5 linked regions of the Ovis aries genome follow. The protein of the gene in region 3 interacts with the protein of the main gene of each other region in a biochemical or structural test. Links are inferred from orthologs where the notes say so. Each region holds a gene or a part of one and is shown on either strand. Other genes may lie near its edges.

Region 1 (4,804 bases), about 4.5 Mb from region 3:
TGTGGGGGGGTCACAGGATCACCAGAGCATGCTGGGAGGACACTTGGGCAGGTGCTTCTGTCTTGGGTCCCCTTGTGGGAGTGGTGACAGGCCTGGGGACGGCCCGGAACGCTCTGTCCTCTGGACGCGGGCTCTCGAGGGGAGGAGTGAGCTGAGGGCCAGCCGTGACCGTGCTCTGCACTGCCAGGCTGGCTGCGTGCACTTCTCCTACAAGGCCTCCTGTGAGGTGCGCGTGCTCATGCTCCTGTACTCCTCGGAGAAGAAGATCTTCATCGGCCTCATCCCTCACGACCAGAGCAATTTCGTCAATGGCATCCGGCGTGTCATCGCCAACCAGCAGCAGGTGCTCCAGCGGAACCTGGAGCAGGAGCAGCAGCAGCGAGGGGTAAGGGCCCCCCTCGCCACGCCCCTTCTCCCCTCCCCGCCTCCGCCCAAGGCTCACTCCTCCGTGCTGTCCTTCCCCACAGATGGGGGGGTAGTGGGCCCCCCCCCCCCCCGGGGCCGGGCCTCTCCAGGAGTCACAGATGAGGCCCCTGCGAAGACTGGTGAGTGGCAGCCGGCCTAGGGCAGGAGGGCCCCGTGGACACGCCTGCGGTTGGGAGGTGGTGTGACCCTGGCCTCCAGGAGACCAGAGAGGGAGAGGCCCGCCTGCCCCCGCTGAGCCCCCGGGAGGCTTCCGGCCTGGGGCGGAGTGCGGGGGCCGCCCACCCAGTCCCTCTGCCCCCTCCCCGCAGGTCAGATGCTTCTGAGCAGGGGCCTCTGGGGACTGCGCCTGCCCAGCGAGATGGAGGACCACGTCCTGAGATGTCTCTGAGGACAGCCCCCACCCTGTACGTTTCCCCAATAAAGTCTTTTAAAAGCCCTCCGGCCACTTGGCTCTGTTCAGACTCCCGGCTCTGGAGAGGCCAGGCCACTCTCACCTGAGCTGGGAGAGGGTGCCACCGTGCACGGAGCTGCCCAGCCTGGGCAGTACCTGCTGCTCCAAGTGTTCCAGGGTTTTTCCTGCAGCTGCTCCCAGGCTGCCCTCCCTGCCCTGTGGCTTCCACGGGCCTCATTCAGCTAGAAGCAGACACGAGGCAGGGCCAGGCAAGTTCCAGCTGCCACCACCATAAACCTCTCCAACCCAGGAGAGGCAGAGGCCCCCCAGGGGGGCAGAGTCCCCAGTAGCACCTTCCTGGTACCTTGGGCCCAACGGGTCTGTGCTGCTGGCCTGGCTGGGTGAACCACCCTTCTCTCCAGCAAAATGGTGGCCAAGAGTTAGGAGAAATAGCATTTATTGTGGGAAGGGGCGAGGGCCAGTAGGGCAGGGTGGCTCAGCCCTCTGAGAACTGGCGGTACAGCCGCTCGAGCTGCGGCACCACGTGCAGCTGAAATGGGATCTCCAGGACGGCTGCAAAGCCTTCGGCCAGCGTGGGGGCCTCGAACTGCTTCCTGGCGGCAGAGGATGCAGGCTAGAGGCGAGACCCAACCATTGGGCTCAACCTATGTCCCCCCACCTCACCCTGCGGCCCCCACCTGTAGCTGTAAATGACGACGTCGGACACGGGCATGTGGGAGGAGTCTGTCATCTCCCGGAACTGCGGGGGCAGAGGTGGGGCCGGTGAGGCCAGGGCTTGGTGGGGTGTTGGGGGCTGGAGGGGCTCGGGGGGTTCACTCACCCGGTTGTTGTGGCGCGCCTGCTCCAAGGTGGCACTGAAGAGGAAGCAGCGGCAGGGCACACCCGCATCCCGGGCACACTTGATGTACCTTGGGGAGGGGAGGATGGGGAGCTTGGTAAAAGGCCTGGAGCCGCCCTCTAGGGGCCTTCCCTGGGACCCCAGTACCTGGCCCGGCTCTGGACGTCGGGGTTTGTGTTGTCAATCACGACCGGTTTCCTCTGCTTCAGGGCCGCCTCACATGCAGTCACACAACGCTGCCATGAGCCCAGAGTGTCCTGGAGACCCAGAGAGAGAGATCAAGGATGGGGCTTGGGACACCCAGGGGCACAGGGACCCAGAGCCGGCGGGGGGACACCGAGGCAGAGTGATGGAGAGTCAGAAAGCACAGCCGTCTAGGGGTTGGGGGGGCACTGAAGACCACGTCCTACCCTGTTCACGTGGACGTATCCGGCTGACACGAGATGCTCCCGGAGGAAGGTGGACTTCCCGGCTGTGAAGGGCGCAGGGTGAGTGGGGCCTGAGGAGTCAGAGAGGGGCTGGGGCTTCTGGGGGTCAGGGAGTCTCACCCCCAGGAAATCCCACGGCGACGACCACCTCTGGGTCTGAGCTTAAGAGGGAGCTGGACTCGGGGAGGCAGAGAGGCCCAGAGCGGGCGATGCTTCTCTGGGAGGGACAGACAAGATGAGAGAAACCCGGCCCCATCCCTGTGCGTCCCCGCCGCAGGCCTCATCGGGTCAAAGGCTGCGAGCTCAAAGGGCCCCATCCATGTGTGCCCCCCACCCAGCCCTGCAGGCCTCACCGGGTCAAAGGCTGGGAGCTCGAAGCGGGCCGCAGGCCACTTGAGAAAGAACTCCTCTGGTGTGGTGAAGGGCAGGCCCAGGTTCAGGGCGAACTGGGGGGGCGAGGGAGCAAGTCAGGTGGGGTGGGGTGGGGGCGGGCTCCGGTGTCTGGACCGGGTGGGGCACTCACCAGGCGGTCTGCACAGGAGAAGTCTTTCTTCTTGCGCCCAGGGGCCCAGTTGGCTGGGCGTCCCGCTGCGTCTGGAACACGGAGCCCCGTCTCCACCAGCATCCTTAGGAGCGGCCCATCCGCATCAGCGCCCAGCACCCCCCCCCCCCCCCAGCCCCAGGCCCTTACCTCCCACAAAGATGCTGTCCCTGATGGAAATGGGCACGCCCTCGTTGGCCTGGGCAGGGACACATGACAGGCAGTAAGGAACCCAAGCCCACATCTGTCGCACTAACAGGTTCCGCCAGGAGGTCGCTCTGTCGGTGCCCCGCCCTAGGCCTGACCTCTAGCCTCTCAGACCTCAGCCACTTCTCAGCCGCTTCACCGCCTGTTCCACAAGCGGCCGCCAGAGGGCGCCCGCTCCCACCTGACGCGGCTCCGGACCCCACAGAGTCTGACCTCGCATTGCCCCCTCGCCAGCTCAGCGGTAGCCACACAGGCCTCCTCCCTGCCCGCGAAAATACCGGACTCCATCCATCTCAAGATCCTTGCATTTGCCGTTACTCTGCTCTTTCCTTAGATGACACACGGCTCCCTCACTCACCACCTTTAAGCCTTTAATCAACACCCGGCCGTTCCCTCACTGTTTACACATCGGTCAACACACTTAAACGAGGGCCCGGGCGCAGGCAGGTCTGTCTTGTCCACTAATACGTTCAGCTCAAGAAGCTTTGTTTGTTCTGAAGAACAAACCCATGAATGAATCCACAGGTGATTTCTCTCCGGACCACTCTGGTTTCCCGAGTTTAAAAGCATTGGCCTCAGCCACCAGCACCAGGACATGATAGCAAAGAAACTGAGGCGGCCAGGCCTGGGGAGGGGGTGACAGGGAAGGTCATGGAGCAGAGACCTGGAGTGGGCAGGCGGGCAGGGAGCCCTGGGAGTCGGAGGCTCACCTGCTCTTGCAGGTGGTCCCACATGCCGCTCACCGGCTTCCGGTACAAGCCTGCGTGCGTGGCCACCAGCACCTGTGGGTGGGGCCGGGGTCAGACACCGTCCTTGACTCTTGCTCTGACACCCAGAGTCCTACAAAGGCACCTGAATCCCAAGGACACTACGCCAACGCTCACCAAGGTGAGCACCGCTTGCAATGCATCTGTCGGCATAACCACGCCCGGGGCCCCCATCCACTCTCCAACTGGCTCACCATGTCACACCTTCTCCCCGGGTCTCTGTTTCCTCCTTTCTGGCCCACCACGCAATCTCTGGCCTCTGTCTCAGCCTCTCTGTCCCTCTACATAGTCCTTCAGCCTCCCATGCAGCCATACCTGAAAGGGGACCCCCAGCTTCTCCACCACAGCCTCCACCTTCGCTTTGAACTCCTCCGCTCGCAGCTTTCCGCGCCCGATGCCCATCTGGTTGGTGAAGATCACCAGCTGTGAAGGAGATGGGGTGTCACCCCGGCCTTTCCTCATCAGGCCCGGGCCCGCCTTGTGAGCCGGCCCCTACGGAGTACACACCTTGTAACCCTCAGCGGCCAGTTCCCGGAGTTTCCGCGGAATCTCTAGGTACAAGATCCTAGTGCGGGCGAGGAAGCGCAAGGTGACCTGGGGCCCGGATGCACCTCACCACCCTCTCCTACTGCCTTCAATCACCTCCAGTCACTGGGGCTAGTGGGGAAGACCTTCCCAGAACGTGTGGTGATGAGGGTCCCGTCCAGATCAAAACCAGCCACCTGGCGTCACCCAGAAAAAAGAGCAGCACTGTTACACCTCTGGGCCACCTAGCTCGCAGGCTGGTTCGCGTCAATTCTGCAAGCTGGGACTATGAGCGCCCGCCCCTTACAGATGGGGAAACCGAGTCACAGCTGGCCTACCCATGTTCTGTAAGGACAGGATGCCACCCGGACAGCAGAGTGAAATCTTCTCTACCACCTCCCACTCCTCCTGAGCCCCTCAGTATTTCAATCTTTAAAATGGGTTTTGTATCCGACCCAGCCTCCTTCCATGGCCTATTTTCACTTCAGGGGACTAATAACCATGAAAATCCAAATATGAACTAAGTTTTGTTTGGGTGTTGACTGGACTGTGCTAGAGCTGTCTTCAGCTTGGGCCTCACCTTGCCCCGAGGCTTCACACCAGGTGCTGTGAACACCAGCAGCTTCTCGAAGGTCTCCCAGCCAGGGGATGACTTCCTTA
Region 2 (5,918 bases), on a different chromosome or scaffold from region 3:
GGAGAGAGAATACCTGAAGAGCAAGGACAGGAGGGAATCCAATGGGCAGCTGAGAGCACGGCTAACTTTTGCAGGATAAGAGGAACTCCTCCTCCTGCCCTACACACACACTCAGGTGCTTCAGTCTCCCTAAAGTTCTGACGTTATAATGCTCCCATTTACTACTCCTTGAGAGGCTGAAGCAGTGACGACACAATGCTTATATAACTAACCTTAAGCAGTATCTTGGTCCATTTCAGCCTACAGTTTCAACTTCTAGGAATGAAGTATTTTAGAATATGGGGCGCACAGAAAGATGGCTGTTCCTGAACTGTCAATATAACCCATCCAGTAAAACCCCATAAACTGCCAGCTCTATGACAGCAAAAGCCTCATCGTACTGTATGATGCAGGCATAATACATCATACCTGCCTTCGAGATGCTCAGAGTCTTGGGGAGGACAGAGATTCAAAAACAAATGCAACAAATGTGAAAAGTATAATGACTGGTCCATGCAAAGGGTCAGAGAAGGCAATGGCAACCCACTCCAGTACTCTTGCTTGGAAAATCCCATGGATGGAGGAGCCTGGTAGGCTGCAGTCCATGGGGTTGCTAAGAGTTGGACATGACTGAGCGTCTTCACTTTCACTTTTCACTTTCATGCATTGGAGAAGGAAATGGCAACCCACTCCAGTGTTCTTGCCTGGAGAATCCCAGGGATGGGGGAGCCTGGTGGGCTGCCATCTATGGGGTCGCACAGAGTCGGACATGACTGAAGCAACTTAGCAGCAGCAGCAGCATGCAAAAGGTGTTGTGGGAGCACAAAGCTGGAATACCCAACCTAGCCTTGGAGAAAGGTGTCAAGGAAGGTTTCCTATAAGAGATGGGCCTAAATTGAGACTTATATATGAACTGGTTAGTTAGGTGAAAGTGGGCAGCCTAATTAGCTGAGGAGCAGGAAGTGGAGGAAGGAATCAAAGAGAAGATTCCAGTCAAAAGGAACAGGACAGTGTACACGCATGAAGAAGCAGTTCAGGGTTGCTGCAACCTAAAGTATGAGGTCAATAAGAGGCTGGAGATGCAGGCAGGTCCAGATGAAGCAAAGCCCTGGGTGATGGGCTGAGAAGCTCAAACTTTAGAAGCTCTAATGGATTTTGCAATTTAGTAAACAATAAATATTTGCTTAATGAAAGAAAAGATAGGGTGAATGAAATGACAGATCTTTAAATATTATTAAGCAGGACTTTGACTCAGATTTGTTTTCAAGGATCACTTGGGGCAGGATGGTAGGTAGTTAAAGAATAGTTATGCAGGGAATTGATCTAGAGACAGGGAAACCAGTTAGAAGGCCATCATATTTCAGGTGAAAGAAGGTTCAAAGTAGGACATTAATACAGACAAAAAAAGAACACAGATTTAAGAACTACTTAGAGGGTAAAATCAACAAGACAGTGATGGATGTGCTAAGATTAAGTACAGAGAAGACAATATTTGAACAGTCTGTGGGACTAGCAAGCAGAGGTATCCAGCAGGGTAGCCAGAGGTAAGAATGAAACTCAGCAGAGGTCTAAGCTGACACTTTAATTTGGGAGCATACAGGAAGGAGTTAAAGCCATGCTAGTTGACGTGCTCATTCAAGAATTGTGTACAGCATAAAAAGAATAGTGGGCCAAAGTCACAAGCCTTGGAAACACCCAACATTTTAGACAAGGAGGGAGGACTATCCACAGGAGAAATTACTGGTGAGGGAAACACTCGGGGGGAAAAAAAGCTAAAATGTAAGCTCTTCAAGGGAAGGAGGCACTTTGACATGTTCATCTGTATATCACAATAAATGTTTGTTGAATAAATCAGCTTAGTGTACTGTCGTGAAAAGCAAAGGAGTAAAGAGTAAAAAGTATCACCACGTTTGCAGCAAAAGGATCCAGTAATGATCGGAAGTGTCAGTCGCTCAGTCATGTTCGACTCTTTGTGACCCTATTGTGACCCACCAGCCTCCCCTGTCCATGGAATTCTCCAAGCAAGAATACTGAAATGGGTTGCCATTCCCTTCTCCAAGGGATCTTCCCAACCCAGTGATCGAACCCTGGTTTCCTGCACTGCAGGCACATTCTTTAGTGTCTGAGCCACTAGGGAAGCGTAATGATTAAAGAACGTATATTTGGTTTGATAATAAGTCACTAGTGACTACTGTATAAAATTTTAGGGGAATAACAGATCTGAAAGCTAGATCGCAGAAAGGAATGAGAGGTGAGGAATTGGATACAGAATTCACAATACTCTTCAAAAAGTCTGGATAAGGAGAAGAGAGTTACTGTATGTGAGCTAAAGAAAGATGGATCACCAGGAACTTTTTCTTTCTGGCTTGGGGGATAAGGAGCAGGGATCTGAATAACCTGACCTTGTTTATACATGACTGGGACACAGACAAGGGAAGAAAAGACAAATGAAAGCCCCGGTTTCATAGGTGAAAACATAAAAGAAAGGTCAGAAGCAAAGATAAAGAAATTTGTTTTGATCAAGAGACAGATCATCCTCTGATATTGAAGGAAAGGTATAGATAGGTGGTATCAACTTTGACGAGTGTATGAAAAGAAAGCAAGGGTAGAAATTTGAGGGAAAGCACATCGGATGAACTCAATTTTCTCCCTAAAATAGCAGATAACAACAAAGTAAGGTGTCTGGGCAGTTGAGAATCAGCTAAAGACAATCAATATAAATTAGTGGACAACATCCAGACCTCTGAAATCCAACTGCTCACGTTCAAATCTTCCCTCCACCACTACTCACTGCATAATTTGAGGCCAGTTATTTAAACTAAGACTTCTTCAGCTGGAAAACAATATTAATTATGGCTCTACACCACACTGTTGTCACAAGGGCTAAATTAAGATGTAAAAAGTTCGGCACCTGGCAAAAAAACAGCATTCAACATCATTACCACTCTCGTTAATAGTGAAGAATAGGCGCTATAAGGAAATGTTAAAAGATCATCCGACAACACTGCTTGCAGCGAAGGTGACAGGGCACAAATGTTCTGTCTCCCTGAACAGAGTAGTCCTGTCCTCTGTGTTCTAATGGCTCCCGATATATATCAAATTCTCAAAAGGCTCCAAACCTGGACCACATTAATTCCACATGGAAATTATAGCCTTGATTTGTTGAACCGCTATCATTGGTCTGCATGAGAAAAGGCTTGATTCTTCTGGTCTTCCTACAAGGCCAGCTGTGGATGCTGTGAAGGGCCCTCAAATTCTTCTCAAGGAGCGTTTCTGGAGAAAACAAAGTCGCTCCTGACAGGCTGCGAAGCCTCCTTGGGTCAGACAGTGCCCACTCTCTAATCTTTTTTCTGCTTGTGCTCTGACTAAGCTAGGTTCAGGTGTCAGGCGCATAGGTGAACCAACGCGAAGTGCAGTGGAGACCAACACGAGCGCCGCCAGCCGCTGAAACACGGCAGGAGGGAAATGGGCAGCCCTGGGCCTTAGAGCCCGAGGATGGAGCAACGCCTGCTTGCCTGCCGGGAAAGAGCCGTGAGAGCGTTATTCAGGGAACATTACTCTGGGGTAGAGGTGGACTCGATGCCCACACTCACGGCTCTCAATACGGCAGGAGACGAGGTAGGCCGACAACCGCCTTACCTCCAGATGGCTGAGGCCAACAAGCTCACGTTACTCCTTCACTTCCGGCGCTGAGGGATGACGTTGCAAGACAAACTGGGGCGCAACCTGTGACGTTTCCAGTGCCTGTCGGAAGACTGACTGAGGATCTCGCTAGATGCCCGGATGGGGAAGTGCCCGCCCCATTTGGTTCCGAACTGGGCAAAAGTCCAAGTTTGGTTCCTGGCAGTTAACCAAAAAACGACGAGTTCTCTCAGTTCCCCTCTATCCGAGAGCCGCTCCCCAGTCACCACCTCTTAATCTCTGAATTGGGATACACTTCAGGCAGCTATCCTCTCGGTGGCCGCTTCTAGGCAGCCATGCAGCATCTTGATTTTCGCTTTCCCTTCATAGGGAAAAGCTCCGGAGAAAGCAATGGCACCCCACGCCAGTACTCTTGCCTGGAAAATCCGTGGACGGAGGAGCCTGGTAGGCTGCAGTCCATGGGGTTGCTGAGAGTCAGAGGTAACTGAGCGACTTCACTTTCACTTTTCACTTTCATGCGTTGGAGAAGGAAATGGCAACCCACTCCAGTATTCTTGCCTGGAGAATCTCAGGGACGGGGGAACCTGGTGGGCTGCCGTCTATGGGGTCGCACAGAGTCGGACACGACTGAAGCGACTCAGCAGCAGCAGCAGCAATAAGGAAAAGCTCACTACTTTTAAAGCCACCGTTTCCGCTGTAGACAGTACCTGCTTGTGGCATTGTTTTCCCGCACGCTTTCGAAGCTACAATCGGCTTTCTCTTTTTCTGAGTGAGAAAGGTCTGAAGGGGCCAGAAGTGGAGAAACCTAAGATTTTTTTAATGCTGTCTTCACTGAATGAACTGGCTGAGGGGCTGTCAGGGAGGAGAATAGCAAGATGTTGGAATGAGATGTTTACTGATTTTTATGACAGTTCCAGGATGTTCCCTAAGAGTCATGAACTGCAAGAATTCAAAGGCATTCTGGCAGATGGAAAAACTGTGTCTCTTTTCTAATATCGTTTCCTTACATAGAGATTTAGGACTTCCCTGGTGACTCAGACAGTAAAGCATCTGTCTACAAGGCGCGAGACGTAGGATGAAGATATCAGCTATTAAAACAGAATAGGAGGATCTTCCAGGAAACAAGGGAGAGCTGCCCTTGTTGGCAGAAAAGATGCAGGTTTATATTAAGGTCACACCAGGAAGTGCGGGAGCACAAGGAGCAGCTCCGCGGCTGCACAGGCCTCATGGCAGTGGAATGTGGTTCACACTGTTCCAGGTAAAGAGAGGCTGTTGTGGTGACCCGACCAGTCTTGTTTTTCCCTCAGAATTAAGCACTTTCCAAGCATCACAGTGGTAAAGAATCTGTCCGCCAATGCAGAAGACACAATTTTGATCCCTGGTTGGGAAGATCCCCTGGAGAAGGAAATGGCAACCCACTCCAGTAATCTTGCTTGGAAAATCCCATGGACAGAGGAGCCTGGTGGGCTATAGTCCTTGCGGTAGAAAAGAGTTGGGCATGACTGAGCACCACACTCACACACAGAATTAAGCTTCTCTTAGCCTCTGCTTCTATAAATACCTGACCTGCCTATGTGTGTCTGGCATTCAAAATTGGATTGAATTATTCTAATTGGTCATTCAACATATATTGTGCAAAAATGTCCAACCTATTAGGTCTAGCCCTTTCTCTATAGCATATTACTGGCCCAGGAAATGCACAGCTTAAGGGTATTGCGGGGGGGCACTTAAAATTTTCAAGGAATCCAGAACCAAAGATTTATCACAAACACATGTATAGAAAATTAATAGCGAATAAGCCTGTGGTATTACCTAATGCGTGTGCTGCGTGTGTGCTGGGCTTCCCAGGTGGCACTAATGATAAAGAACCAGGCTGCCAATGCAGGAGATGGTTGGATCCCTGGGTAGGGAAGATCCCCTGGAGAAAGGCATGGCAACCCACTCCAGATTATTTAATGCAGTAGCCCTAAAGTGTAATCATTGGATCAACAGCAGTAGCCTCAAAACACTTAGGAACTTATTAGAAATGCAAATTCAGTTCTCACACTAGGCTTACTGACTTAGAAACTGCTGGCAGGGCCCAGCAATATGTTTAACAAGTCCAGCAGGTTTTCCTAATAGGTGCTTAAATTCGAAATTCACTGATGGAAGGCAAAAGCGTCAAACCATCACTTCAGTCACTCAGTTGTGTCCGACTCTGTGACCCCATGGACTGCAGCATGCCATAACCCATGATAAGTGTGTTTTGTTAGTATGCTCAAGGCTTTGAGGTTTTTTTCTTCTTTTTTTATAAAATT
Region 3 (5,031 bases):
AATGAATAAAACATTTAAAGACAGCATAAGGAAGGAAGGTTGCTAACGGGCTGACTTTAAAACCGGGAGATTATCCCAGGTTATCCAGGTGGGCGCAGCATAACCCCAAGAAGTCAGTGTCAGAGTGACGCAGCCTGAGAAAGACTCCACCAGCCGTTGCTGGCTTTGAAGACAGAAGGGGCATGGGTCGTGGGCTGCAAGTGGGAAAGATAAAGATAAGGACAGACTCTCTCCCAGAGCCCCAGGAGGAGCCAGAGCCCTGCCTGCGCCCTGATGGTTAGCCTGGCGAGACCCATTTTGGACCTCAAATCTAGGTTATGACCTTTAAGACACCAAGTTGGTGGTCATTTGCTCCCCAGCTCTGACCCTGCCCTTTGCCCTCCCTAGGATGAAGTTCGAGCTTCTAGGCTGCCGTCCACTGCACTGCAGGGCTGCCCTACCTGCTCTCCACAGTGAGGGAAGGCTCTCCGTCGGCACTGTCCAGACCAGCAGCCGGTGGGCACTGGAAGCACGGCCACTGTGGCTGAGCAAGTGAATTGTTCGTTTCCCTGTTGCTAAGTTTTGGTTTCGTTTTTTTGCCACACCGAATGGCAGGCAGGACCTTAGTTCCCTGACCAGGGACTGAACCCATCTTCCCTGCAGTGGAACTGCGCAGTCCTAACCACTGGACCACGAGGGAACTCCTAAAGGTGGTTGTTTATTTTGTTTAGTAATTTTTGGCTGTGCTACCTGGCATGCTGGATCTCCCCCAACCAGGGACTGAACCCATGCCCCTGCATTGGGAACACGGAGTCTTAACCACTGGACCACCAGATAAGTCCCCCATCCCACCCCCACCTTCTACCCTGATTCTCTAACAACCAGGTCAGGTCCCACCTTAAATATGGTGGAGCCTTAAAGAGGGTCTGGGATTTGTGGAGGGTAATTTAAATGCCCCTTCCCTAGCTCTCCCTCCCAAATGAGGTGACGTCAAACCAGGCTGGGGATGGTTTCACAGCTACTTCTGAGAGCCCTGGAGAAAGGGAGATGTCCTTGGCCCAGGGGAGCTGAGACTTCAAGGGAGGCCACCCCATGAGCATCCCAACCCACAGCCCAGGACCCCCAGAGGGACAACTGAGATACGGGAATGGGCTCCAGGGATCCAAACCAGCTGAGGGGTGTGTGCTGAGTGTCAGATTCCCAATCCCCTACCACCTGCTGCCAAAGCGGGGAGGCACCAGGGAGAGTAATAAGGAGCTCCTTCCCAACCAGGCCCCGGACAGAGAGCCGGTCGTTCTTCCGCAGACCCCAGGACAGGAGTCATCAGGTGGCCCAAAGACCCAGCCTTCAGAGCCAAGTGGAACCAAACCTGAGACAGAAGGCAGGGAGCCTGCTGGGGGTTCTCAGAGACGCGAGCGGGAGGGGCAGCTGCTCCAAGCCAAGTCTCCTTTATTACACTCGTGTGGGTGTGTGTATGCGTGCACATGTGTGTGTGCGTCCATGTCTGTCCACACACATTTCACGCCTGGGGCACCACCCCGTAGAGCTGGTGGGGAAGTAACTTCTGCTTCTCATTGCAACTGTAGATCCAGCGGGGGCGGACGAACACCAGGGAGGGGTTGTCCGTCAGGGCCTGCAAGGGGCGGGGGGCAGTGGGAAGGGTGAGCCAGGAGGGGCTGGGGGATGTGCTGGGGCAGGCTGGGCCTCCCTCTCCTGCCCCTCCAGGACTCACCTCCTCAAAGCTGGGGTCCCACTCCTGCGCGGTGATCACAAACTGGACCCGCTCACTCATGTAGTCCTCAAGCTCCCTGGCGGGGGATGCGAAGAGGCGGAGAATCGGCGCCCCGTCTCTTGACGCCCTCCTCCCCAACCACCCTAGAGGCCGTCCTCTCTTCACCCCCACCCACGTCCCCTGTGGGCCACCCGTGGGTCCCCCACTCCCACGTGCCAGGCTCGCCGTATCCATGAAACCGCCAGCTCCTGCCAGCACCAATCCTTTCAGAAGGGCGGTGAGGAGCCTCATTTTAGACAAGAGGAAGTGGGGGTGAAAGGGTCGGGGACGGGGAGTTTGGGGGTGTGGTGTGGGAAGCTATGCGTCCAGGGCCCTAGCACAGCGAGCAGGGCTGGCACGGAGCTCCACAGCCTGTGTCGACCCTCAGGGTATATCCCTTCTCCATCCTCCCCATGACCTTCCACCCCCCACCTCCTGCCCCTGGAGACTGACCCGTTGAAGGCTGTGACATAGCGGCTGAGTGTCCGCCGCTCGTCTCCTGGGAACTCCCCGTAAAGGAAGAAGCGTTTGCCCTGGAAGAAGTCTGCAGGGGAGAGATGGAGATGGGGCGGGGAGAGCCAACATGAACCCCTGGAGTCCCGGGGTTCCAGCCAGGAGCCACGGGACATTTGCAGACTGGACAAGAAAGCAGGCGCAGTGGCTGGATGGGGTGCGGAATGTCCGTGGACACCCTGACTCAGAAGCCATCCCTGACAAGCAGTGGTTCTAGGCAGGCCTAATGGGGTTTTGTTTTATATTAATGGTAATAGATACAATTACTATTAGTGGCAATGTGTTTCTTAAACCAGGTCAGTCAGTTCCTTCACTTGGTCTAGGCTGGAAACTTCACATCCGGCCACTTCCTCCACTGGCTAGCCCACTCCTGTTAACCAGTGCCTTCTCTGACGCTGACCTTCAGGGTGGCTCTTTGTTCCAGTTTAACATGATTTTCTGTTAAGTTGCCAAGGTCACGTTTGGGGCTTTGGAGGAGGATCAGAGTACATTCCTGCCCATCACTTGTGAGGAACCGGGTGGAAATAGCTTTTTCGGGAGGCCACAGACCCTCGCCTCCACTCAGAGCCTCTGACTGTCCAGCTCTCCTTTCATTCTCTTTCGGCTGCGCCACGCCACATGTGGGACCTTAGCTCCTTGACCAGGGATCAAACCTGAGCCCCCTGCACAAATGAACTGGAGTATCATCCTTTTCACCTAAGATATTTATCTGAAAGTCCCAAAAAAGGTGTCCAGGAAATCTTCGTTGATTTCCAAACAGTTCACCCCCTTTACAGTCATACCGTTCATTCCATACCGTGGAATCTTAACCACTGGACCACCCGGGGAGTCCCTCTCCTTTCATTCTTGACCAGAAGAGGCTCCGATGCCTGCCCCCATGTCTGGGGTGATGGATAGCAAGGCGGGTCCCAACGGAGATCGGCACAGCTGTATTCCCTGAGCCCCACCCCCACCGACAAAGCTGAACCCGGGGGGTGTAGCTGGGGTACCTGCAGATTCTTAAAGCCCCCAGGTCGGTCTTGAAGCCGAGGGAGTGGGAGGCCCCTGTCATCAGGGGGTGAGAAGCTAAACGGGGTCTGGCAAGGGGCTGGGCTGTGAGGGAGGTGGTCACAGTGGAAGTCAGGACGGGACAGACAGGCACGGATGCTGACAGGAAGGGAACAGGCCTGAGAGGATACGGAGGTGGCAGAGGTCAGGGAGGAGGGTGAGGAGCCTGGGAGACAAGTCAGAGTGGGCGGCGGCCATCCCAGGGGGCCTGGGGCAAGTCACCTTAGACAAGTGACAGGGCAAACCCCACCTCAGGAGGGAGGGGTTCCCACCTGGGAGCTCGGGAATCGGCAGGTCGGGAGACTCCGGGGGGCCCTCATGGTCCGTGTTCTCATCTGTGGATCCTGCGTACGGGTCCTCGCCATTCTCCTCCTGACCAGGGGGCTGCCTTTCTTCCTTCTGCTCGGCCACCCTGGAGAGGCCAAGGGTGGGGAAAGAGTGTGCAGATCGGCTTCCCCTCCACCCAAGGCCGGGGCCACCCTAGCCACCCAGCCCCACCCTACCTTCTCAGCTCGTCCTCGGTGTCCCCAGAGTCTTCTGCCCCGTTGTCCCGTCCTTCTGTGAGCAGACACTTAGTCAGCTCGAGGCCCCTACCTCCCAGCCTCACACCTGAGCATAGGTGGGGTGTCTCAACCCCCAACCCAATTGCTCCCCAGATCCAGTTGGGGGTGAGGGGGCGGCCTCCCTCCACCCCCTAGGTCCACTGTCTAGGATCCAGCCCCATCTCGCTGGACCCAGGAGCTCAGACTTGGAACTCCTTCCCCTTTTAGACGAGGGAATCTGGGTCTTCAGCCGCTCTTCCCTCAGACTCTGACCTGACTGCTCCGCCTCAGTGTCGTCATTATCTTCCTGGGCCCCTGGTGAGGCTGGTTTGGTCTCTTCTGGGGTTGGGGGTCTCTGGGGTGAGCTAGGTCCTGCTGCCTGAGGGGGCTTGGCTTTGGTCTGGGGGCGCTGAGGAGGGAGGGTGGGTCAGGGAGGAGGGAAGGGGCAATGAGGGTGTGAGTGTGTGCCCGCAGGAGACAGAAGTAGAGAGTTTGGGGTACCGTGTCCCCCCGACTCCACCCTCCCCCATGCCGGGCAAGGGGCATGGACCTTTCGGGGAGCCTTGGGGGCTTCATTCCCACTGCTGCCGCTGTGAGAGCCCCCCTCGTCCTCGCTGCTCGAGCCTGACCCAGCCATGAGGTACCTGGAGGAGGGATCGGGCCTCAGACCAACAGCAGATGCGTCCTCCAGGGGAGGTGGGGAGGGGGCTTAAGAAGCAGCAGGCGCTTGCATTTACTATCAATAAATAAATCCTCAGGGTGCAGACGTGGTCTCCCTCCTGGTCTACCCCTTCTCCCAGCTCCAGAAGGGCCCCGTGGACCTTCAGCCACCCACACCATTGACCACAGCAACCCCTGGCTTCCCCTCCGAGGGAAGAAATGTCTCATTTCAGAAACAAACAAAAAAAATCAGAAATAATTCTCTCCGGCAAGCATCAAAGTCAGTTTCTCATTAGGAGAATGCCTACTGATCAAGGGAAAAATCTTGAAAGCAAATTTCCTGTGTGCCAGGCACTGCTGTGAACACTTTACAGGTTCAGAATCGCTGAATCCTGAGGCGGGTGCTATTTTCAGCCCCATTTTACAGAAGAGGAAACGGAGGCCCAGAGAGATGAATCAAGTGGCCCCAAATCACAGGGCAGAGTGCGTACGCAGCAGAAGCGAGTGAACCTGCTGGGC
Region 4 (6,178 bases), on a different chromosome or scaffold from region 3:
AGGCGTGCACTCGCACATCTTCCCATCTACACATCTTAAAATCCCATCTTGTAATAAGTGAAACAAACTGAGCTGCAGAAGCTGTCTTGTGAGGAATAGAGACTAGTTTGGCTTTTTGTCTGTTTCTGCAGAAAAGTGCAAGTGATTCTACAACAAATTTAAGTTCATCTAGTCATTCAGTTAGTTCAAATAAATCTTTTAAGTGATTTCTGGTGAAGCTCTGACACCTGATGGGAATTGTGGGGAAGCGGAGTGACAGTTTATCTGCTGTTAAGTCAGCTTACCAGGGAAAACTTCCTTAAAGCCCCTACTGTTTATAAGCCTTCATGTCTTGGAAGGGAAACGCCATCTCGCTACAAAAACAGAAACCTGGTTAATAAAGATACAAGATTCAAAAGATAATAGCCTATGTTGGTATAACCCACTGCAAGTTCCAAAGCACTTTTCCATTAGTTTGTTTTCAATAGCCTTACTATTTAAGAACTTTTCATATTTTTGTATTGATATAATTTCTGCATTTCAAAGCTTGGGCTTTCAAGGAGTGCCTGACCATCTGTACTCAAAAGTTACACTGGAGGAAAACAAGGGGAAAAAAGTGAAATCTTTGTCTATTTGAAGTTTAAATGGTCATATTTGATACAAATGGGTGAATGTTGGAAAAGACCCTGATGCAGGGAAAGATTGAAGGCAGGAGGAGAAGGGGATGACAGAGGACGAGATGGCTGGATGGCATCACCGACGCAATGGACATGAGTTTGCGCAAGCTCCGGGAAACAGTGAAGGACAGGGCAGCCTGCTGTGCTGCAGTCCACGGGGTCACAAAAAGTCGGACACAACTGAGTGACTGAACTGAACTGAATTAGGGAAGTTCTTTCTCATGGATTACAATCAATTGCTACAGATTTCATTTGAGAGACAAACCACATACCTGTTCTTTAGTTTATAAGTATTTATAACAGAATCAAATATGGGTCAAGCAAAGACAAAAGTGAAATTTATGAAGTTCTCTAATCTCTAAAAAAGCCTGAACCCTCTTCCAGAGGCTGGCCCCTGGGTGCACTTTAACTAATTTATAATCAGTAAACAGGAGGAAAGGTAATGAGGTAATGTAGTTTATAACATAAGGGCAGGAAAGGAGAACATAAAAATCCCCACTTAAGATTTGTTATCATCTCATCTCTTAATTCTCTCTACTGACCCTTAGTAAAGTGCAGTCATCAACAGAATATATAAATTTAGACGTTTGCTAATAAAGTAAGAACTAGATCACAGCTGATAATCATACAAGATGTTTTATTGACTACAGTGCAGGTTACGGCATGAAGAAGAAATAGTTACTTAAAAACACCACAGACCCTTACATAGCAAAGCTTAAGAAATAAATTAAGATTCTGATTGGGCTGTGCCGGGGAGGACGGGCCTCACTCGCTTCGGTCCTTGGGCTCACGGTACTTCCACTGGATGTAGTCGAAAATGTCCTTCTCACTGTCCACGGGCAGGGGCTCCCCGGCAACGCCTGCAAGGAGGGCCAAGAGACCTTCCTCATGAGCCAGTTCTGGAGCTCAGTTACAGAGGGGTCAGGATGGAGAGCTGAATAGGACTTGCTTCAGAGGGAAAATAAAATAGTCCACAAGCGACTTAAAAAGACCTCCCTCGAGGGCTTCTGTTCATGCTTTGCCACACACATATCACCAGTGCTACACAGCGAACCTGAATACCTCAACTCTGGCCCTTTGACGTGACCCTAATCCATGACTCTCCTCTCTGCTGGATCTCCCCTGTGCCAGAGAAAAGACTCCAGTGAGTTCCTCTGCAACTCAGCACACGGTCCCTGGACTAGCAATGCAGCAGTCCCGCAAAGCCCACTGAAGTGAAACCTGCATTGAGTGAGGGTCCCATGTAGTCTGTACACCCACTGACACGCGACAAGCACAGCCCTACTTTACAGTTTTAGGACAAAAAGACGAAATCTTCATTCTCCTAGCAGATAACAGTAGACCACATAATAAATAGACTGTGAAATGTTAATAAGATCTATAAAACAGACTATGTAATTCTTACTCTTTAAACTGTGAAAGTTTGGAGTCAAAGCTACCAAGTCTGGCCTGACACTGAAAGGAGCAACACCTGAGTTTTCCTGAAATCTTGGAGGCACATTTAAGAAAACAAAAATCCTTTAGGTCAATAAGAGTTTCTTCTTTTTTTGCTGACCATGGAAGTAGAAAGAATTTAATCCATTTGAACACAGAAAATAACTAAATCTTGTCATCATGAGCTGAGGGCCTGGGAACACCTATGGAGCAAAGCTTTCTCTGTTGCCTGAGGGACTAACAATTCTAAAGAAACTACAATTAACTGCCATGGTTACTTAAAGGCTCTTAGAAAAACCAAAGTTGCTAAACCAAAATATCCCGATGACTGGGATTATCTCCGATGCAGACACAAATACTCACCAGTGACACCCAAGGGACGGATTGTGTATTCATTGATTGTGAAGCCTTTTTCTAGGGCATGAGCTCGCATATTCTTATTGAAAATATCACTCCCGGTGAAATAGAGGACACCGCAGTAATACTGGTCCTTGGGTATCAACCTAAACAAAAGAAACAAGCGAGCAATCCTTTACTATGCATTTCAAACTTCGCAAAAATAGGACTCATAATCAGGAAGGCATAATACAAGCCTGTGCAGTCCAATAACCTAAAGAGACCCCCATCACTAGGACCATTCAAATGTCCTCAACCGTGCAGTTAGTTCAGGCTTCAGTAAACCACACTCTGCAAGGGGTGTGGACAAACCCAAAGATGGTCTCAGGACCACCTTCCCCAGCGGGATCCACCTCATGCTGTGGCAGGCACCTTGAAAGTGAAAATGAGCGTGAAGTCGCTCAGTCATGTCCGACTCTTTGCAACCCGTGGACTGTAGCCCACCAAGCTCCTCCGTCCATGGGATTCTCCAGGTAAGAATACTGGAGTGGGTTGCCATTTCCTTCTCCAGAGGATCTTCCCAACCCAGGGATCGAACCCAGGTCTCCCACATTGCAGGCAGACGCTTTACCTTCTGCACCACTAGGGCCAAGTACTAACATCAAAGATTTCAAGGGAGGAAAGAAAGCCAGGTTGAAAGAAGGGAGAGGAGGTGGGAGAGGTGAGGTGAAAGGGGTGGCCTTACAGACGTCTCCTGCCACCTACAGATACCCAGGTGTTATGGGACTTTTCCCTGGGCCTCCAGAGAAGGGAGGACTGGAACTCGCCCCTACCAGAAATCAGACCAGACCAGAACCAGAATTCAAGTTCTCTGCCAAGAGGAGGTGATCAGTCTCCAATCCTCAGCTCTGGCTGAGGGCCTTTCAACCAGATTCCTGCAACCAAGACCAGGGGACCAGAAAAACAGGCAAGGATAGGAAGGGTTAAGCAGAGGAAAGAGAGAGGGAAGGGGAGAGAGGTCAATGAATCTCTTGTTCCTTACCGGTCAGGGCACTCTGGCCAGTTGTCCGCGTCAGGAGGAGACCAGGGACCAAAGGGTCCCAGTTGCGGACGCTGGGTCTGGTCCATTGGCAGGCAAGCTGGCCCGAGCACCCCGAGTGGTCAGGATGTCAGTCTCAGCGGAGAAGAGTCCCACCAGAGTCACCATTTGTTTCAGGAAGGCTGACCCCTTCCAGGGCCCGAAACTGGGCTCTTGTCTAACACTCGGAAATGAACTGCCCGAGGAGACACATGCGCGGACAAAGCAAGAGATTTTCTGGGGAAAGGGCACCCGGGTGGAGAGCAGTAGGGTATGGGAACCCAAGAGAACTGCTCTTCTCTTGATAAGGAAGGCACCTTATGAAGAGGCAAATCCAGAGATAATAAAGCAGATTCTGTCGATAGTGTTACTTTTTACATACTTTCAGGCCAAAAAGTGTCTATTGCAAGGACATAGGGCACTTCAGGGGCTTCCCAGGGGGCACTAGTGGTCAAGAATCCACCTGTCAATGCAGGAGAAGTAAGAAACGGGGTCAGGAAGATGCCCTGGAGAAGGAAACGGCAACCCACTCCAGTATTCTTGCCTGGAGAATCCCATGGACAGAGGAGCCTGGCGGGCTACAGTCCACAGGGCCACAAAGAGTTGGACATGACTGAAATGACTTAGCAGTAGCATGGGTCTGCAGAATGAAAAGGGATCCTGGATATTTATGTAAATTCCAAGATATACCCAGGGGGAGGGGTGGGGGGGAGGAGAAAAGAAAGGAGAATAGGTCAGCAACAAATTTTGAACAATACCTGATATCAATTCTCCTGTGTGGATATTCCTTTTCATCGTTTTTCCTGGGAAGCTGACAAACACCCTAAAATGGATTTTAAAATGTTTAAAGATTTTTTTTAAGAATTTCAGGCTTAATTCTAATCAAATATTGTTAAGTGTGAAGTTACCTCTGCTTTAAACGGAGGTGGTTTTAGCCTATGAAAACCTGTAACGTAACTTTTCTCCGTTCTATGTCATCACCCCCTGTACTGTAATACTTCGTGATTACTAGAGAACCACAGGGAGCAGCAGATGATGAGCCATCTGGCTTTTTTGTGACTCTGAACAAGAAAATAATCAAGGAAAGCACGAAAGACAGACCAGAACAAACAGAAACAAGCAACTTGGAAGAAAAAATGATTATTTAGGAAGACAAACACACCCACAAAAGCTACCAGTAATCTTCTCAGATTATAGATATTTTATCCATGATACAAGGACAGAATGCTACAGAAAAAGAAAACTCTAGGAAAGGATTTAAATCAAAATAAAAAATATTATAGAAAAATTGGAAGTTGGAGATATCATCCAGAAATTAGAGAAGACAGAGAGAGTACAATTAAGAAAAAAATTAAAAGATAGAGGACTGTTTTATTCCTTCTCTATGGGGGAGTTTCCTTATACTTCGGTAGTTTTTAAACAACAATTATCAAGGTCTGTTTTGTTATCTTTTCCTTTTCCAGAAAAAATGGGGAAAGTTTATGGGCTGGGCAACAACCCATATGTAAAATATGTAAAAAAGAAAAACATTGCCATTTTTCAAAGTTAAAGCTTCAAACGCCACATTCCGAGAAAAATACACAAGTTACAAGCTTCCAGTTCTGAAGGGCAGTCCAGCTGGTACACACATCACTAAAAGCCGTCCGTTTCACTCAGCAACACAGAAGAATCAAAATCTAAAATGGTTATTTTCTTTAGCAACTCCTCTGGCTGAGAGATTAACGAATCCTGTCTATCTTCAAATATGAAACCTACCTTCTCAGGCACTAACACTTACAACTCAGATGGAATTCCCATGAGGTACTACCTTGCTGACATGGAGGTCTGAGTACCATGGGCAATGGTCTTGCTGTCTGTCACACCAGTAACAGGATTCCAACTGATGGGTTTGTTCCTTTCCTCAAGGCTAAATTTCATTTCCTGAACTTTTTCTGAAGTGCTGGTGTTAAAGAATTTCTCTGTATCACTGTAAAGTCTGTATTAGAGTGAGTGGATTAGTTTTGTTTGGCATTTCAATGAGGTAGCTTTATGCTGACTCTGAAATAAAGCCTCCTCCATTCCTCTCGTGTGGCCGAGGTTTCTCCTATCAGAAAATCATCTTCTGAGGCCAAACCTGCACAAAAACGCTAAGATATGAGTGGTACTCATCTATATAAAAAGGTATCTAAATGCAAAAGAAATTGGTTTTTCTTCCAAATGTTATTATATTCACAGGAAGAATAGTTGAATTAACGAAAGACCATGAGTCCACAAGAAGATCTGGAATAACCCTGACTTTCCTAAGGTTTCGTTACTATTAATTTAAAGGAATTCATGTTTTAAAGATAACTTTGAAAACATAGAGAAGATTGTATCTTTCAAACTATTTAGTCAGTGATTACAGCAACAAGATATTCTGAAATCAACTGGATTGATATAGAGTGGAGTTTATTCTACTTCATAAGCTGAATTCATTTTGCAACCAATTTCCTTTCAGAAACCCAGAGATCTTAAAACTTCTTTGGTGATCTTCACTAATGTTCTGTGCCCAGAGTCCCTGCCCTGACTCCTGCCTGCCATCCTTCCCCCCAGAGATCTGCTGGGCTAACTCCCTCACCTCAAGCCTCTCCCTGGGTGTCATCTCAGTAAGGTCATCTTATTTAATACCTTCTCCTGAACTCCCTAGATGGTGCTA
Region 5 (6,097 bases), on a different chromosome or scaffold from region 3:
GCCATCAGCACACAGATCCATCGCCTGATGCTGTTGGGTCACGTCCCAGGGCGGCTGACCCTGTGCGCCGACCAGACCAGGCACAGGCCCAGGTCAGAACCCCACTGCCCTCGCCGCCCTCCCGCCCACAGGAACCCGGCCCCAGAGGCCACAGAACCTTCTGGGGAATCTGACCCTAAGTGTGTTCGCTGGTCTTCAAGTCCATGGGAACATCAGAGAGTACTCTGAATCAAGTACCTCCACAAGCACGACTTTAACCATACTGAGGGGAGGGTCTCTGAGCCGGGCACATCTGCTGGGGTGGCCAGCTCACCCCACCTTGCGCCTCTGGCAGGGGAGAGGCCCAGCAACTGGAAGCTCCTAGGACAGCAAGCCGTGCCTTCCACAGCCACAAAACAAACTTCCACCAAAGACAGAACAAGAAACCGGCCATACCTCCCAGCGGTGCTGGCCCTGCCCCAAAGCAGGGGACCAAGCCCAGGTCAGAGATGAGAAGGAAAGACCCAGAAGGTAACCTGCCCACTGGGGGCGAAGCCTTAAGTCAAACCGAGGGGTAGAAGGGCCGTTTTTCACCAAGGCCCCTGGCCCACCATCACTTGGCTCAGGCTGACCCCCAACTTCTCCAGCAAGCCAAGTGGCGACCTTGTCCCAGCACTGGCTGCTGGTGGCCACTCTGGTGTGCCCACATCTGTGCAGGGGAGCGGGGTCAGGTCAGCAGGTCAACAGCAGAGCCAGGCCCTGGGCGGCTGCTTCTCTGGCTGCTTGTTCCCAGGCCCAGTGGCCTCAAAGAGCCAGAACTCTGTAGGGGTCTGGCTCTTGGACCACTCCCCAATAAGCAAGCATATGGGAGGCGGGGCTGGGATTGCCACCACAAACTCCAGCCTCACCCAGGAGCCCAGGGTCCAGGAAGTGGGGTGACTTACTGCAGACACCAGACAACTGGGTGCTGTGAGTTGTCAAGAAACACGGAGACTTGTGTCAACACAAGGGAAAGCGAGCGTGAAACTCTAGCTCCCACGCAGGAGGCCTGGTGACAGGAGCTGCTGCCCGGCTCTGACCACTGAGGACACTCTTCAAAGGCTCTAACCCTGCCCAACCTCAAGATCAAGTCCCAAGCAAGAAGGCCCACACCCCAAAGAGAATTTCTCTTTGCCACCCCCGAACCTCCAGTCCTGGCCCGCTCACCTCCTCCTCATCTGTGGACCTGATGGACAGGACCCTGTCTGGGGTCTCCTTCCCTACACGTGCACACCCATCTGGTATTTTCATTCATTCATGTGATATAAGTTGAAGACCACAAGTGCGGCTGCCCGAAGGCTGACGTGGGCGTGCTGGTGCCCCTGGGTCCTAGTGGTGGTTGCTGGCCACCTGGGCACTGCCTGCAGCACCAGACTGTCCACAAACAGGACAGAGTGGGAGATGCTGGGGTCACTTCCCTCAGGTGGGGAGCTGGCAGAGCAGAGGGGAGTGCCAAGCAGCTTTCAAGTCCATGGGAACATGAGGGCAGTAATCCTGAAGCCTGAAAACCCTTCACTTCACATCACCCTTCTAAACAGAACTTGCCCCCGCCTCATCACCAGGGCAGATGGGAACGCCTCTCCCTCCCCTGGTGGGGGCTTAGGGATGTGCGGAAATCCTACAGGAGCCCCTCACGGGCCAGGACCACCTCTAAACTGTCCCACACGGGAGCTCAGTGGCAGAGACAAGCAGCCTGGCTCTCCGTGCACTGTGAAGTTCCTGCTGAGTCTGCGCTCAGCAAGGCTTCAAGACTGGTTCCTGGAGCCTGGGCAGCACATGGGTTCTGGAATGGGCAAGCTGGCACTCGAGGGCTCTGGAGCGGCATGGCTAGGCCAGGATGTAGAAAAGGCCGGTGGGGTGATCCTCAGTGCCGCATGCCTGCTGACCGCATGCCAGGACCCCGCCACAGGCCACCTCTTCTACTGACAAGGAACAAAGCCGCCTCAGCAGACCCTGTTGGGGCGCCAGCTGTGACTGTCTCAGGTGCAGAAAGTAATGGGAGGGGTGTCCCACAAGAGCTGCTGCAACCCCGTCCTTGGGGGTGAGAACCAAACTGGGCACCTGAAAGACAGATGCTGCAGCCATGGCGGAGTCACAGGCGCACACCTGCCCCCGCCCAGAGAGAGGCTGGCCTCGCTGCCCAGGAGAAAGCAGCCAATTTGCTACATTTTAATTACAACACGGAACCACTCCTTCAGCATCCCACTTAGAATCCAATCAGCTTTTCCCAACTGACAGGGAGGCACTTAAGGAGCTGTTAAGTGTGCGCAGTCTTCAGGGCAGCAAAATCACTAAGAGGCAAAGATCGGGTATCTATGACCTGCTAGAGACAGCCTGAAGCACAGGATCCGGGTCTGGGGCAGACCCTTGAAGTCTGCAGCCACCCTTCTCCAGCGTGGGCTGTGCTTGAACCCACGCTTCTCAGATCAATCTCTGAAGCCACTTACCGGCTGCAGGTGAGGGCCAACGGCTTCCCTCTTCCCCTTCAACCTTCTCACCGGTAAAACGGGCGATAGCACTGTGAGCCCAGAGGTCGGCCCAGGATGAAACCGATAGAGGCTCGCGGCCCTTGGTGGGCTTTCCCACCCAAACGTAAGCTCGCCAGGAGAAGGAAGGCACTGGCTTCACCTGCGCTCAGGAGATCCTCCAGCCCAGGGGCACTTCCCTGGTCTTTCCTGACACGCCTCCCAGGACGCCCAGCTGTTTCCAAAGCAAGCCCAAACCCCCAGCGAGACTCACGTGCAGCACGATGCAGAATTCACCCCCAACCCACCCAAAATCAAGTCAGCACAAACGTGGGCTCCTTCTCCCCCTGCTGCTGGGCAGGTTCTCCGTCCAAAGGCAGTTTCCTTGGGAGCAAGAAACACAGAGGACCACGGGCTTAAGAGCAGACCAACGAAAGCCAACTCCGCAAACCGGGGAGAAACTGCCAACGGAGCTTGTTTTCAAATCGTACAAACCAAACCAGTTACTTCTGTGATTCAAGGACAGCTGCTGGCCGTTACCATCAGCCCAGCTAATCATTCCCTCGCCTTCCTCTTACTCGCGAAAACTATCAGCTCCAGCCGCCGTGCAATTGGTATAAAGCGGTCTTGGGACGAGATCTCCCCGTCAAGGGAAGAGCGAACACTCGGTGGGTCCCCCGCAACGGCGAGCGGAGCTCGGAGGCGCAAGAGCTCTGGCTTGTTTTCGTTTCCAGGCATCACACGCCACCCCCAAACGCGCCGGCGCTCCTGCAGCGCGCGGCTTTGCACTCTTTGTGCAGCGCGTCCTCTACCAGGCTGGAACGCGCCACAGGTTCGCGCGCAGACCGTGACCCCGGAAACGCTCCGCCTGAGCGGAGGGCTTGGCGCTCCTGTCAGCGCGGCCCGAGCCGAGCGCGCCGTCGGCCGCCCCGGACGCGACTCGCCCCGAGCGCGCGCCCGGAGAAGACGCCCCCACCTCGCGGGCCGAGGCCGCGGCGGGCCGGGGGCCGGGCTACCCGAAGGGAGCCCGGCGGGCTGGCCCCCGCCGCGGCGTCAGCAGCCCGGGGCGGGCCGGTCCCCGGGAACGGGCCGGGCCGCGCGCGGAGGGCGCCTGCCCGGCCGGACCCGCCGGCAGCGGAGTTTTGGGCCCCCGCGGCCCGGCGCCCGCCCCGCGGCGCTCACCTCGGGCGGCCCGGCCCGGCGAGCGAGGCGTACTAGGCGGCGGCGGCGGCGGCTGCGCTCCCTTTGTCTCGGGACTTCCCTCCCGAGCCCGCTCCGCGCGCAGCCCGAGCGCTCGAGGACCCCGGCGCGGGCGGGGCGGGGCGGGGCCTGCGGGGCCTGCCCGCCGCGCGCCTGGCTCGCACCCCGCCGCCGCCACCGCCAGCCCCGCGCCGCCCGCGCCGCCGAGCGCCGCCCGCTGCCCGTGTCCCGCCGCCGCGCGCCCGCGCCCCGGGCCCCGCTCGGGAGCCCGGCCCGGAGGCGGCTTTCCAGTCAGGCGGCGCCATGGACACCTGCGTCCTTAAAGGGGCCGCGTCCCGGGTGTGAGGGAGCGTCTGCAAACTCCCCTTCGCGGGGCACTGTTCCTCGCGAGGACCGGCCGGGTAGCGGCGGGGAAGCAGGGCGGCCGAGATCTCCCCGGGCTCTCCGGATGCCCCGCGGGCACCTCCCCAGGCAGCGGTCCCGGAGGTCTCCTCGAGGCTAGGGCCCGGGGCGGAGGAGCAACGACCACTGAGGCCTAGGGATCCCCCAAGCGTCGCAGCACGGTGACAATCTCTCGCCTACGGCATGCTGTGAAACCCCTTGCGATTGGCCAACTCGGGGCCCTGGGCGGGGCATCCGTCTAATGTGCCCAATGAGCAGGCCCCGTACACAAGACCAAGTGCGGGCCCGACCGACGGGAGGAGAAGTGCAGACGCTCCCTAACCCAGGGGCTGGCCTGGGGGGAGGGGCGCCGGGTGGTCCGGGCGGGTGGGGGAGGAGCAGGGGCAGGGCTAGGCCCCTGTGGCCGGGGTCTCAGGTCCGCCCCGAACCCACGCGCGAACGCTTGTCCTTCCCGGCCACGCTGGGCGCCTCTCCGTCTAGCGGCCCCCGACCCCCGTCCCCTGGCCCAGAGTGGGAAAGAGGGAGCGTTCCAAGGTCAGCCCCTCCGCCCGTGGGCTCTTTGGGGTCAAGTGGCGGGAGGTGACCGCCCCCCCACCCCGGCCCCCAGCTTGCATTCATTCACCCCTTCGCCCTGGGTCTCCTCCTTCCTCCGTTTCCTTCCATCCTCCCCACCCTCACCCCCGGCAGCCCCCTATTTGGCACTGTACTGAGACTATTGGCCTCCAGGGCAGACCGCCCAGCACCGCCCCCCCCCCCCCCGCCCCCGCAAGGCTAGTGTCCCAAGGCCCACGTCTGGGCCAGAGCTCTCAGCAGGTGTTCAGCGCTCCCAGCCCGTCTGTTACAGTGAGGATGGTCACTAGCCCTGAGAAGGCCCCGGGCTGGGCGTGGGGTTGAGGTGGGGGCGTCTCCTGAGGCTGGTAGCTCCGCTGGGCTGGGGAGGTAGTCTGCCTAGGGTGCCTCTGGGTCAGCTGTGGCCCAGAGGGCCTGGTTATAGTGCCTGGGGTCCCGGGTAAGGGCCCAGACCCCCTGAGCAGCAGGTGAGCATTCCAGGTCTCTCTGAGGCTCTGAAGTCCAAAGGTGCTGCCGGCTCCTGTGTCCCCACAGTGACCCAGCGTGGGCCTGCTCTGGGACACTGCCTCCCCTGTCTATTCACCGGGGCAGATGCCAGGATCAGGGGCTTATCTGAGACATCTGTTCTCTGGGTCCCCAGCCTTGGTTCATCGGCTCCGAGTAGAAGTTTGTGTTTTAACAAGTGTCCCACGTGGGCCTGCCATGTAGCACTTGACCACTGAGCTACAGTTTTAAGAACCCCAGGAGCATGGGCTTAGTGCCAGCACCATCTTTTTTGTGAGGGTACCGGGGAGGTTTGCGCAGGGCTGCACGGGGAAGTCACCCAGTCCAGTAACATTTGCCGGTGAAAAGTGGTGGCCATTGCTGGGAGAGGATCCTGGAGGACTGCGCCTGATCAAGTGCCCACTGTGGGGGGAAGAGGTAGTAGGTGTGATTCGCAGCTGCCTAGAGTAGGGGTGCCACCGCTAGCTCCCTCAGGTGGCTGTTGAGGGTCAGGTCCTGGGAGGTCTGTGTGTAGGGGCTGCTGCTCCAGGGGCTGAGTTAAAGAGGAAGAAAATCCACCCCTACCTCACACCACATACAGAACCAACTCAAAGACCTAAGCAGAAGAGCTCAAACTATAAAACCCTTAGAAGAAAACGGAAAAATCTTCATGACACTGGATTTGGCAATCATTTCTTGGATGTGACACCAAAAGCAGAGGCAGCTAAAAAGGAAAAACTAAATGAATCAAACGTCAAGATTGTGCATCAGAGGACATTATTACCAGGGTGAAATGGTGACCCGCAGAATAGGAGAAAAAACACAGATTACATATCTGATAAGGGGTTAGCATTTAGAATATATAAAGAGTGCCTACAATTCAACATCAACAGAACAAACCCGGTTCAAAAACAAGCACAGGGTCTGAAAAGACTTTTCTCCAAAGAAGACATACAAAT

The links.
Region 1: the proteins of XRCC1 (region 3) and PNKP form a complex in vitro, tested with the Homo sapiens proteins (3 studies listed by BioGRID and IntAct, with this or other methods). The link is inferred for Ovis aries from reciprocal best matches to the Homo sapiens genes XRCC1 and PNKP.
Region 2: the proteins of XRCC1 (region 3) and APTX form a complex in vitro, tested with the Homo sapiens proteins (2 studies listed by BioGRID). The link is inferred for Ovis aries from reciprocal best matches to the Homo sapiens genes XRCC1 and APTX.
Region 4: the proteins of XRCC1 (region 3) and POLB form a complex in vitro, tested with the Homo sapiens proteins (5 studies listed by BioGRID, with this or other methods). The link is inferred for Ovis aries from reciprocal best matches to the Homo sapiens genes XRCC1 and POLB.
Region 5: of the proteins of XRCC1 (region 3) and UBE2I, one has a biochemical effect on the other in vitro, tested with the Homo sapiens proteins (2 studies listed by BioGRID). The link is inferred for Ovis aries from reciprocal best matches to the Homo sapiens genes XRCC1 and UBE2I.

Annotation. Positions count from the first base shown.
Region 1 is NC_056067.1:55,943,317-55,948,120, forward strand, and holds the end of PNKP (bifunctional polynucleotide phosphatase/kinase), read right to left. Parts: coding exon 4,725-4,804; intron 4,342-4,724; coding exon 4,262-4,341; intron 4,185-4,261; coding exon 4,127-4,184; intron 4,043-4,126; coding exon 3,935-4,042; intron 3,635-3,934; coding exon 3,563-3,634; intron 2,845-3,562; coding exon 2,796-2,844; intron 2,699-2,795; coding exon 2,628-2,698; intron 2,551-2,627; coding exon 2,458-2,550; intron 2,322-2,457; coding exon 2,225-2,321; intron 2,149-2,224; coding exon 2,087-2,148; intron 1,934-2,086; coding exon 1,824-1,933; intron 1,747-1,823; coding exon 1,659-1,746; intron 1,578-1,658; coding exon 1,516-1,577; intron 1,452-1,515; coding exon of another isoform or gene 1,432-1,451; coding exon 1,314-1,431; 3' UTR 1,258-1,313; downstream 1-1,257. Other genes in the region: PTOV1 (prostate tumor-overexpressed gene 1 protein), read left to right, coding at 188-385, 468-479. UniProt on the Homo sapiens protein: Plays a key role in the repair of DNA damage, functioning as part of both the non-homologous end-joining (NHEJ) and base excision repair (BER) pathways.
Region 2 is NC_056055.1:38,141,269-38,147,186, reverse strand, and holds the start of APTX (aprataxin), read right to left. Parts: upstream 3,678-5,918; 5' UTR 3,167-3,677; coding exon 3,099-3,166; intron 1-3,098. UniProt on the Homo sapiens protein: DNA-binding protein involved in single-strand DNA break repair, double-strand DNA break repair and base excision repair.
Region 3 is NC_056067.1:51,463,813-51,468,843, forward strand, and holds the end of XRCC1 (DNA repair protein XRCC1), read right to left. Parts: intron 4,497-5,031; coding exon 4,403-4,496; intron 4,262-4,402; coding exon 4,126-4,261; intron 3,869-4,125; coding exon 3,814-3,868; intron 3,723-3,813; coding exon 3,583-3,722; intron 2,295-3,582; coding exon 2,204-2,294; intron 1,788-2,203; coding exon 1,712-1,787; intron 1,613-1,711; coding exon 1,499-1,612; 3' UTR 1,412-1,498; downstream 1-1,411. UniProt on the Homo sapiens protein: Scaffold protein involved in DNA single-strand break repair by mediating the assembly of DNA break repair protein complexes. Negatively regulates ADP-ribosyltransferase activity of PARP1 during base-excision repair in order to prevent excessive PARP1 activity.
Region 4 is NC_056079.1:36,544,505-36,550,682, reverse strand, and holds the end of POLB (DNA polymerase beta), read right to left. Parts: intron 4,328-6,178; coding exon 4,263-4,327; intron 2,594-4,262; coding exon 2,454-2,593; intron 1,779-2,453; coding exon of another isoform or gene 1,720-1,778; exon of another isoform or gene 1,517-1,719; coding exon 1,422-1,516; 3' UTR 1,277-1,421; downstream 1-1,276.
Region 5 is NC_056077.1:1,564,878-1,570,974, reverse strand, and holds the start of UBE2I (SUMO-conjugating enzyme UBC9), read right to left. Parts: upstream 3,780-6,097; 5' UTR 3,666-3,779; intron 3,302-3,665; exon of another isoform or gene 3,062-3,301; intron 2,839-3,061; exon of another isoform or gene 2,758-2,838; intron 1-2,757. UniProt on the Homo sapiens protein: Accepts the ubiquitin-like proteins SUMO1, SUMO2, SUMO3, SUMO4 and SUMO1P1/SUMO5 from the UBLE1A-UBLE1B E1 complex and catalyzes their covalent attachment to other proteins with the help of an E3 ligase such as RANBP2, CBX4 and ZNF451.